Linked DNA regions of Ovis aries. The protein of the gene in region 1 interacts with the protein of each later gene in a pairwise test. Links are inferred from orthologs where the notes say so. Each region holds a gene or a part of one and is shown in the gene's direction. Other genes may lie near its edges.

The links.
Region 2: the proteins of DHPS (region 1) and EIF5A2 interact in binary tests that used the Homo sapiens proteins (3 or more experiments, as listed by UniProt). The two-hybrid records come from large-scale screens. The link is inferred for Ovis aries from reciprocal best matches to the Homo sapiens genes DHPS and EIF5A2.

What each region holds. Positions count from the first base shown.
Region 1 is NC_056058.1:11,114,932-11,120,345, forward strand, and holds the start of DHPS (deoxyhypusine synthase), read left to right. Parts: upstream 1-2,025; 5' UTR 2,026-2,149; coding exon 2,150-2,356; intron 2,357-2,598; exon of another isoform or gene 2,599-2,802; intron 2,803-2,926; coding exon 2,927-3,091; intron 3,092-3,282; coding exon 3,283-3,404; intron 3,405-3,491; coding exon 3,492-3,588; intron 3,589-3,689; coding exon 3,690-3,776; intron 3,777-4,207; coding exon 4,208-4,313; intron 4,314-4,393; coding exon 4,394-4,497; intron 4,498-5,340; coding exon 5,341-5,414. UniProt on the Homo sapiens protein: Catalyzes the NAD-dependent oxidative cleavage of spermidine and the subsequent transfer of the butylamine moiety of spermidine to the epsilon-amino group of a critical lysine residue of the eIF-5A precursor protein to form the intermediate deoxyhypusine residue.
Region 2 is NC_056054.1:217,242,559-217,247,525, forward strand, and holds part of EIF5A2 (eukaryotic translation initiation factor 5A-2), read left to right. Parts: intron 1-3,317; coding exon 3,318-3,449; intron 3,450-3,683; coding exon of another isoform or gene 3,684-3,710; exon of another isoform or gene 3,711-3,743; intron 3,744-4,330; coding exon 4,331-4,390; 3' UTR 4,391-4,422; exon of another isoform or gene 4,423-4,967. UniProt on the Homo sapiens protein: Translation factor that promotes translation elongation and termination, particularly upon ribosome stalling at specific amino acid sequence contexts.

The sequences.
Region 1 (5,414 bases):
GATTCCCCTTATGTGAGATAGTAGTCAAATCCCAGAAAGCAGAATGCCAGTTGCTGAGGAGAAAGGGGCATGGGGAGTTGTGTTTAATAGGTACGAAGTTTCAGTTTGGGAAGATCAAAGAGTTCTTGAGATGAATGGAGGTGATGGTTGTATAACAATGTAAAGGTACTTAATGCTTCTGAACTGTGGACTTAAGCATGGTTACAGTGGGGGACTTCCCTGTGGTCCAGTGGCTAAGACTCCACATTCCCAATGCAGGGGGCCTGGGTTCAATCCCACGGAACTAGAACCCTCGAGCCATGACTAAGATACAACATGCTGCAAGTAAGACCCAGTGCAGTCAAATAAGTATCTTTTAAAGAAGAGACAGACTACAGAGCTTTCTCTCTTAAAAAAAAAAAAAAAAAGTTACAATGTTAATTTCATGTTATGTGTATTCTACCACAGTTTTAGAAATTGGAAAAAATAAATCAGTCTTTCATTTTAAAAACTCTCCTATGGTTTCCCAGCCCGAGAATAAAACCCACCCTCCTTACCACAGCCCACAGGGCCCTGCCTGGTCTGGCACCTTCTGTCCTCTCTGAATCCTTTTCAACCCCTCCTTCATTCTTCACGGATCACCCTGACGTCTTTGTGTGTGTTTCATCTATTTTTGCTGAGATCCCAATGTGTGCCCAGCACTGCACAGAGTGAAGAGAACAGCAGCGAAACCAGACAAGATCCTGCCTTCACAGAACTGTTGTTCTAGTCAGGAAGGGATGAACAACAGCAAACAGAATATAACGTGTACTGTGAAAAATAAAAGCAAGGTAAGAGCAAGAGTGGGTGGTCAGGGCAGGCCTCTTGGAGGAGGTAACATTTGGATTGAGGCCCAGAGGAGGAGGAGCTGGGGAAGCAGGTGTTCCAGGCAGAGAGAGCAGCAAGTGCACTGGCGCTTGGTCAGGAAAGAGCTTGTTGGGTTCTAGAACAGTCAGATCAGTGGAGCTGGAGAAAAGTGAGTGGGGACAAGTGGTAGGGGATGAGGGTAGGTAAGTCAGTGCCTTCTTAGGCCACAAGGAAGAGCCCGAGTATTACTCTTACTGGGAAGCCACAATAAGAGGGTTTTTCTACAAAAAATTATTTATTATTTTTGGCTGTGCTGGGATATTTCTACCTCATTGCTACCCGGCCTCAGGGTACTCTTCATTGTGGTGTGCAGGCTTCTCATTTTGGTGGCTTCTCTTCTTGCAACGCATGGGCTCTAGGGCACGTGGGTTTCAGTAGTTGCGGCTCTCAGGCTCTAGAGCACAGGCTCAATAATTGTGGTACATGGGCTTAGTTGCTCGGAGGCATGTGGCATCTTTCCGACCCAGGTGTCAAACCCGTGTCTCCTGCATTGGCAGATGAATTCTTTACCACTGAGCCACCAGGGAAACACACAGTATATAGCGCAGACTCCATAAATTGTAGAGTGAGTGATTACAGGGATCTCACCGGACTAAACCCTATGCATGGTTAGGAGGACCCATGAGATTATAGACCCCACCCTCCAGCATCTCACAGGCTCGCTAGAGGGAAAGAGATGTCAGCCATGGATCCCACAGGAGATCCCTTACCCAGAGGAAAGTCAAGGAAGATTTCTCAGAGGATATGGCAGCTCAGCTGCCAGAGAAGACCAGGGGTTATGCCGCATATGGAGGCTCCAGAGACTCGCAAGACACGAACAGCGATCACGGTTCCATTTGACGAGAGACTCTCCGAGGCAGAAACTGTCTGATAACTCCAGGTGATTCGAATTCCGTCTAACGGCAACGTCTGAGAAACCATTCTCTCTTTGAGAGGGTATACACGAACCGGCAAGCTCCACGCAACGCGGTGGGTTTCCAGCAGGCGGCAGTAAAAGTAAAAATCATTCATCGGCGGCCGGGAACGCACGGAATAGAAATAATGGGTCCTCGCGGCTTCCGTATTACGGACTGTACAAGACAAGATGGCCGCGCCCTGGATTCCGGGCGCGGCGAGTCACGTGATTACACAACTTCCGGCACTCCCCAAGTGTTCCCCAGGCCTTGAGTCTCCTGCAGAAGTGCGTGCCGGGGCCTAGCGCAGTTCGAGGCCGCCAGAGGGCTGGCCTGGGGCGGCTCTGACTTGAGAGTGCAGCTGCAGGACCATGGAGGGTCCCCCTGAGAGGGAGGCGCCCGCGGCCGCGCTGGCCGCCGTGCTGAAGCACAGTTCGGCACTGCCTTTCGAGAGCGCGCAGGTCCGGGGCTACGACTTCAACCGCGGCGTGGACTACCGCGCACTGCTAGAGGCTTTCAGCACCACTGGTTTCCAAGCCACCAACTTCGGGCGCGCGGTACAGCAAGTAAACGCCATGGTGAGGCCTGGGTGAGACTTCCGGGGCTGAGGGGGAGTGGCCTCCAGTAGCACCCTGCGGTAGCTGGGGGCGGGACTTCTCTGGGAGGTGTGTTCTTCGTCCAATAGTGGGAGAGAGTATGGGGCCCGGGAGTTTCTGTTCTGGGGAGTGGTTGGGACTGATTCTGGGGCGGGGCGGGGAGCGGGCGTTATAGATAATAGGTGAAAGTATTGTGGAAGGGGCGGAGCCTGGGCTAGAAAGTCCATTTGAGCGAAGAATTGGAGGAGGACCCTTACACCCGCCCGGACCTGAGCCTGAGTTTGCATTTCCCCGTGGGGAGAGGGGTCGGGCCTGAAAAAGTGATGCTCTCGGATTCCTGAAAAGGGGCAAAGCCTAAGCATGTGACCTGAGACTTGGGCTGTGAACAGGGCAGAGCCTACACAAGGGTGTTCCTTCCCCTGTTCCAGGTAGAAGTGGTTCTCTGTCCTTGAATGGGCAGATCCTGGGCGGGGAGTCTGACACCAAAACCCACCGCGGGTCCTTGGGGTGGAATTTGGGGCCAGAGGTTAACTCAGCTCTGCCCATACCTAGATAGAGAAGAAACTCGAGCCTCTATCCGAGGATGAAGACCAACATGCAGACCTGACCCAGAGCCGACGCCCACTCACCGGCTGCACCATTTTTCTGGGCTACACATCCAACCTCATCAGTTCAGGCATCCGTGAGACTATCCGTTACCTCGTGCAGCACAACATGGTGGGACCTGGTGGGGGTGTGGCCTTGGGCTCCCCGCGTCTTAATGGGCAATAAGGTTACTGGTCATTTAAGTGAGATAGGGAGATATGGGTTAGTTTTGTTTTGCAGCAGAGGTCCCCACAGGGGTCACTGGATGAGAGTTGGGAGTTAGGAGTTCTGCTTGGAATAACTTCACTGCCTTGTGGCTGCAGGTGGACGTCTTGGTGACCACAGCTGGGGGTGTGGAGGAGGATTTCATCAAGTGCTTGGCGCCCACATACCTGGGCGAGTTCAGCCTCAGGGGGAAGGAGCTACGTGAGAACGGCATCAACCGGTGGGTAGGTGGGGGCTGAATGGTGCTGAGTAAGGGAGGCAGGCTGAGGGTCCTGGGCCCTGATGCCCATACATCTTCTGTCCCCAGGATTGGAAACCTGCTGGTGCCCAATGACAATTACTGCAAGTTTGAGGATTGGTTGATGCCCATTCTGGACCAGATGGTGCTGGAGCAGAACACAGAGGTGAGGCTGGAGCAACCTGGGGCTGGGGGAGGGTGCGTTTGCTGATGGCATGGTGGGTGTCAGGGGAGGCGCCGCTGCCTGAAGCCAATGTCTCCTCCTAGGGTGTGAAGTGGACACCTTCCAAGATGATCGCCCGGCTTGGCAAGGAGATAAACAACCCGGAGTCTGTGTATTACTGGGCCCAGAAGGTGAGGGACTGGCGGGGGCAAAGATGCCAGGTTTTTGGCATGTGTTGTTTCACTTTCACAGCCACCTGGGTAGTTGGTACTAGTCTCCTCATCCCTGCTCCTACATAAGGAGCCTCAGAAAGAGAAGTTAGGCAGTTTGTCTGAGGTCCTACAGCTATTGACTGTGGATCTGGTATTCTGGCTCTACTCCTAGACTGCTGGGAAGCAGTTGGAAAATACTTAGCAGCTCCTATGGGGACTCTTGGAAGGCTCCATGCTCCTCAGAGGCTCTGGGGTCTAGCAATCAGAAAAACAAGAACTATCATTCTTCATGTGCCAGGCCCAAGTGAAGTTAAGCACCCTGCCCAGAATCAGGCAAAGAAGAGGAAATGCCTGCAGGCTGCCCCTACAGGGGTTAGATCCGGCCCGCCTCCTGTCTTGCTCTTTTCTAGAACCACATTCCTGTGTTGAGCCCGGCACTCACAGATGGCTCGCTGGGTGACATGATCTTCTTCCACTCCTATAAGAACCCAGGCCTGGTCCTGGACATTGTTGAGGGTAAGATGTTGGGGCCCCGGAGGAGCAAGGGAGGAGGGCTGCCTGGGCCTGCAGTGGCCTGACTCAGCCCTCTCTCCCAGACCTCAGGCTCATCAACACACAGGCCATCTTCGCCAAGCGCACGGGGATGATCATCCTGGGTGGTGGCATGGTCAAGCACCACATCGCCAACGCCAACCTCATGGTGAGCAGGGATGCAGGCTGTGCGGCCCCTAGTGAGGGGTGGCACTTGTGCCTGCTGTGCAGACAGGCCTGTGTACTAGGCCCATGCCGTGTGCTGGGAAACAGTTGTGGACTAGACAGGCCAAGATCCCTGCCCTCCTGGAACTGATGTTCTAGTGGGGGAGATGAACAGCAAACCAGTGACAAGGTGACACGTACATCAGGTGGCAGTACTGGCTACAAAGAAAAATCAGGGATGACGACAAGAGGGCAGGAGAAAGGCATGCTATTCAGAAAAGGGAATGCTTCCTGGGAAGTGTGACCTGTGAGCAGAGGTTTTTCAGAGGCTGCTCCCATGAACCATGTGGTTATCTTAGGGAGTGGACATGAGATGAGTTTCTGGCAAGACTGGCCAGTGCAAAGGTTCTGAGGTGCCTGATGTAGGCACATCTTGGAGGCCAGTGAAGGGGAGAGTGAGAGGAGGTGAGGCCAGAAGTGACAGGCACAAAGTGCAAGGCCTTGAGGGCCACTCAGGTGCTCACAGGTACCCTCTGGCTGTGTGGGGAACAAACAGTGGGACTGGGGTGGGGAGTACAGAAAGGGAAGAGGTGCGGAGGTCTTCTCTAGAGTTGGTGGCAGATGTGGGTGGGCTCTTGGTACCTAGGAGGTGAGTCTGGAGCAAAGCCGCCCACTGCCCAGCACCCCATGACACCCCCACTTGGCCCAGGTGTTGACATGGAGCCCTTCCCTTGGAGTGAAGACCACCAAGGGCTTCCTGTATCTGGGACACATACAGTGCCTTTAGCTGTAGTGTCCTGCCCTGGACTCTGTCTGGCTGACCAGCCCATTCTGTCCCTCTCCACAGCGGAATGGTGCTGACTATGCTGTCTACATCAACACTGCCCAGGAGTTTGATGGCTCTGACTCAGGCGCCCGGCC
Region 2 (4,967 bases), on another chromosome or scaffold:
AGAGATAAGAAAGCCTTCTTCAGCGATCAGTGCAAAGAAATAGAGGAAAACAACAGATTGGAAAAGACTAGAGATCTCTTCAAGAAAATTAGAGATACCAAGGGAACATTTCATGCAAAGATGGGCTCGATAAAGGACAGAAATGGCATGGAGCTAACAGAAGCAGAAGATATTAAGAAGAGGTGGCAAGAATACACAGAAGAACTGTACAAAAAGATCTTCATGACCCAGATAGTCATGATGATGTGATCACTAATCTAGAACCAGACATCTTGGAATGTGAAGTCAACTGGGCCTTAGAAAGCATCACTACGAACAAAGCTAGTGGACGTGATGGAATTCCAATTGAGCTGTTTCAAATCCTGAAAGATGATGCTGTGAAAGTGCTGCACTCAGTATGCCAGCAAATTTGGAAAACTGAGCAGTGGCCACAGGACTGGAAAAGGTCAGTTTTCATTCCAATCCCAAAGAAAGGCAATGCCAAAGAATGCTCACGCTACTGCACAATTGCACTCATCTCACATGCTAGTAAAGTAATGCTCAAAATTCTCCAAGCCAGGCTTCAGCAATATGTGGACTGTGAACTCCCTGATGTTCAAGTAGGTTTTAGAAAAGGCAGAGGAACCAGAGATCAAATTGCCAACATCCGCTGGATCATGGAAAAAGCAAGAGAGTTCCAGAAAAACATCTATTTCTGCTTTATTGACTATGCCAAAGCCTTTGACTGTGTAGATCACAATAAACTGTGGAAAATTCTGAAAGAGATGGGAATACCAGACCACCTGACCTGCCTCTTGAGAAACCTGTATGCAGGTCAGGAAGCAACAGTTAGAACTGGACATGGAACAACAGACTGGTTCCATAGGAAAAGGAGTGCATCAAGGCTGTATATTGTCACCCTGCTTATTTAACTTCTATGCAGAGTACCTCATGAGATACGCTGGACTGGAAGAAGCACAAGCTAGAATCAAGATTGCCAGGAGAAATATCAATAACCTCAGATATGCAGATGACACCACTATTATGGCAGAAAGTGAAGAGAAACTAAAAAGCCTCTTGATGAAAGTGAAAGAAGAGAGCAAAAGAGTTGGCCTAAAGCTCAACATTCAGAAAACGAAGATCATGGCATCCGGTCCCATCACTTCATGGGAAATAGATGGAGAAACAGTGGAAACAGTGTCAGACTTTATTTTTTTGGGCTCCAGAATCACTGCAGATGGTGACTGCAGCCATGAAATTAAAAGACGCTTACTCCTTGGAAGGAAAGTTATGACCAACCTAGATAGCATATTCAAAAGCAGAGACATTACTTTGCCGACTAAAGTCCGTCTAGTCAAGGCTATGGTTTTTCCTGTGGTCATGTATGGATGTAAGAGTTGGACTGTGAAGAAGGCTGAGCACCGAAGAATTGATGCTTTTGAACTGTGGTGGTGGAGAAGACTCTTGAGAGTCCCTTGGACTGCAAGGAGATCCAACCAGTCCACTCTGAAGGAGATCAACCCTGGGATTTCTTTGGAAGGAATGATGCTAAAGCTGAAACTCCAGTACTTTGGCCACCTCATGAGAAGAGTTGACTCATTGGAAAAAACTGATGCTGGGAGGGATTGGGGGCAGGAGGAGAAGGGGATGACCCAGGATGAGATGGCTGGATGGCATCACTGACTCAATGGACGTGAGTCTGAGTGAACTCCAGGAGATGGTGATGAACGGGGAGGCCTGGCGTGCTGCGATTCATGGGGTCGCAAGAGCGACTGAGTGACTGAACTGAACTGAACTGAACTGAACTGAATATTAAATTTCCTGATTTTGAAAAATAAACTGTGATTATATAAGAGTATGTCCTTTTTCTTGAGAAGAACACAGTATTATTGCTGAAGAGTCATGATGTTTGAAACTTACTCTCAAATAGTTCAGTAAAAATAAAAGAATAAGAATGTGTATGGAAACATTTTATATATTCCATATATACTAGAGATTTAAAAAAAGCACGTGGTTAAATGTTAACAAAGAGTAAATTTAAGTAAAAGACAAAGGATTTCATTGTATTACTTTTATGACTTTTCTTTACGAAGATCAAATAATTCATTTTTATTAATTTCATTTTTCTATAGCTTAGTTTTATTTTTGAAAATTTTAATTTTATTACAGCAATTTATTTTAATGTTTATAAACAAATACTTTAGAAGATGTTTTATAATATGTCTGTACATTTTTGTGTTTGAAATGCTTTATAGTTCATCCCATGGCTTATGAATGCTATGTTATGAATTGCTCATAAAAAATAAAATACCATATAAATTTCAAAATACCAATATTACTATTTGCTTATGTGGTTCAGTCACTAATGGAGTGGGAACCTTTTAACTCTTGAAATTGACAAGTTCTACCTCAGGGAGTTGCTAAAGGAGCTAAAATAAAAACAGTGAGCCTGTGGTTGTCGGAAAGTCAACCTCTGTTGACTGTCTCAGCCTCCTTGCTCCCTCCGTTTTCTGCCAGCTACCTCACAAATGTTTGAGTGACCAAAAGATTAAAGTGTTTGTGGTGGCTTTTTGTTTCTGAGATTACAGACATGTGCAAAAACTGAAATCTCCTGTGGCCAGTGCAGTGTCTGTGGAAAGCCACTGCCCAAGTCAGTGGCGCCATAAAGGAGCGCTGTGACATTCTATCTCTGGGGTATGCCTGTGTATGTCATAGTGGCTGAAGGGGACCAGGGACCGTGTCTCTGATTCCTTTTGTGTATCTCAGTGTTAGCATCTGGTGTACTGGCTGGTTGCCTTTCATAAAACCTCTTTGAATTCTAGGCACACTGATGGTGTACCTGCTTTTAGAATAAATGAATGTGGCCTGCCAGTTTCCTCATACCTGTAATGAAAAAAATTCAATGATATCAAAACTATGTCTTTTTGCAGGTTAGGTTGATGACTGGGTTTGTTGCATTAATGTCATCAACAAGTTAATGTTTTCCTCTTTAAAAAAATCTAGTGTTGTTAGCAGTGAGCTGGAGACTAAAAATTTTCCACTTAAGTTTGTTTATAATCAAATTATAAAACATATTGTTTACAGTCATGAAAAAACTGAAAATAACTTTTATGCCCATTAATACAAAAATGGTTAAATCAGTAACTGTATCCATGCAGCTCTGAAGTGATTAAAGAGATTAAGGTAAGTCCGTATTTTCCAAAATTGAAAGATTTCTAAGACATATTTAATGTATTACTGTGTATTCATACAAATAAATGTAAATTGCAATTCATGTTAAAATTACAAAGGAGTAAATATAATCTAATCAGTGCAAATTATATAATTTCTTTCAACAGCTGATATGCATTCAGGATGGTTACCTTTCCCTGCTAACAGAAACTGGTGAAGTCCGTGAGGATCTTAAACTGCCAGAGGGTGAACTAGGCAAAGAAATAGAAGGAAAATATAATGCAGGTGAAGATGTACAGGTAAAGACGTATGGGGAGATTTTTTTTAAGCTATTTTATAAAAGCTTTGACCTAAATTAGTTAGCATAAAATACTATAAGAAATACGCCTGTTAAATACTGCTGAAATGTTGAAAAGGAACTCTAGAACTAGGCAGTTTCCCCAGGATACCGTTTACCATGCCTGTTTCAAAAGAAAGTATCAAAGTTCATTTTTCACTACATAGACACTGTCAACCCCAAATTTGTTTTGAAGGTCAGTCTGAACTATTCTGAAGGATGAGAAAGGATGTTACGGGAATTCTAAAGAGTGAAGGTGATTTATTTTATCTTTGTTATAACTTTCAGAAGTATAACATCTAAGTATTGCTGCATTTATAGTTCTTATTCTCCTGTTCCCTGGAAATTGTTTTAAAAACCACAGTTTTTAGAAAACTATATAGAAAGATGATTTGATCTTGGAATGCCTCTTTCCAAAATAAGTATGTATAAAACATCCACACATACTCACCTCATCCTCCTTCCCTCACTGTATCCACAAGTCTGTTCTCTATGTTTGGAAACGTATACATGACCACATGCAAAATAGATGAGCAGTGGGAACTTGCTGTATGATGCAGGGAGCTCAAACCCAGTGTTCTGTGACAACCTAGAGGGGTGGGAGGAGGGTCAACAGGGAGAGGACATAGGTATACCTATGGCTGATTCCTGTTGATGTAAAGCAGGAACCAACACAATATTGAAAAGCAATTATCCTCCAATTAAAAATAGATAAATTTTTAAAAGTTAAATAAGCAGGGTGAAAAATAGATCCACAATTATCCAGTGTATGATGAATTAAATATATCTTATATAGATATTGCCTTTTGAATAACTTTTTACCTGCTTTTTTTTTCCTTCTAGATATCTGTCATGTGTGCAATGAGTGAAGAATATGCTGTAGCCATAAAGCCCTGCAAATAAATGGGAACATCAGGCATGACCAAACTGTTTAGGTCTGGATCAACTACAGATCTAAAGTTTGGTTCTAAGTTGTCACCAAAGCTATGGCCTTCATAAGCAACCTCATTTCTTTTTCAGTTGTTTTGAAATTGTGCTGAGTTAGTTTTGTAGGCAATTAGTAATTTAAAAAAATAATCGAGATATATGACTTTTTTTTTTAATTTTGTAGGTGTCTTTACTATAACATTCCTGTGGTTTTCAGTATGTGAGTCCAAGAAACAGATGCGATAGCTTCAGCAGATGTGATTTGAGCAAATCATTCCTGAATTTTAGTTAAATGAGAAATAAACCAGGGTTTTAAACAATGTAGCATCCAGTGGTATTGATGTATCACATTTAAGTTGAATTGCTCTGCATTGATTTCAAACTTAATATCATAGAATAAGTAGATTATGGATTGGAATTGTCAGAATTTCAGCCTGAGTGTGGCAAGTACAGATCCTTAAACAAAAATCATGTTATCAAAAGTGCCAGTTATCTTAGTAACTGTGTGCAGCCCACCTGTGTTCCCTCAGTCATTCTGTTTTTTGCCAAATTT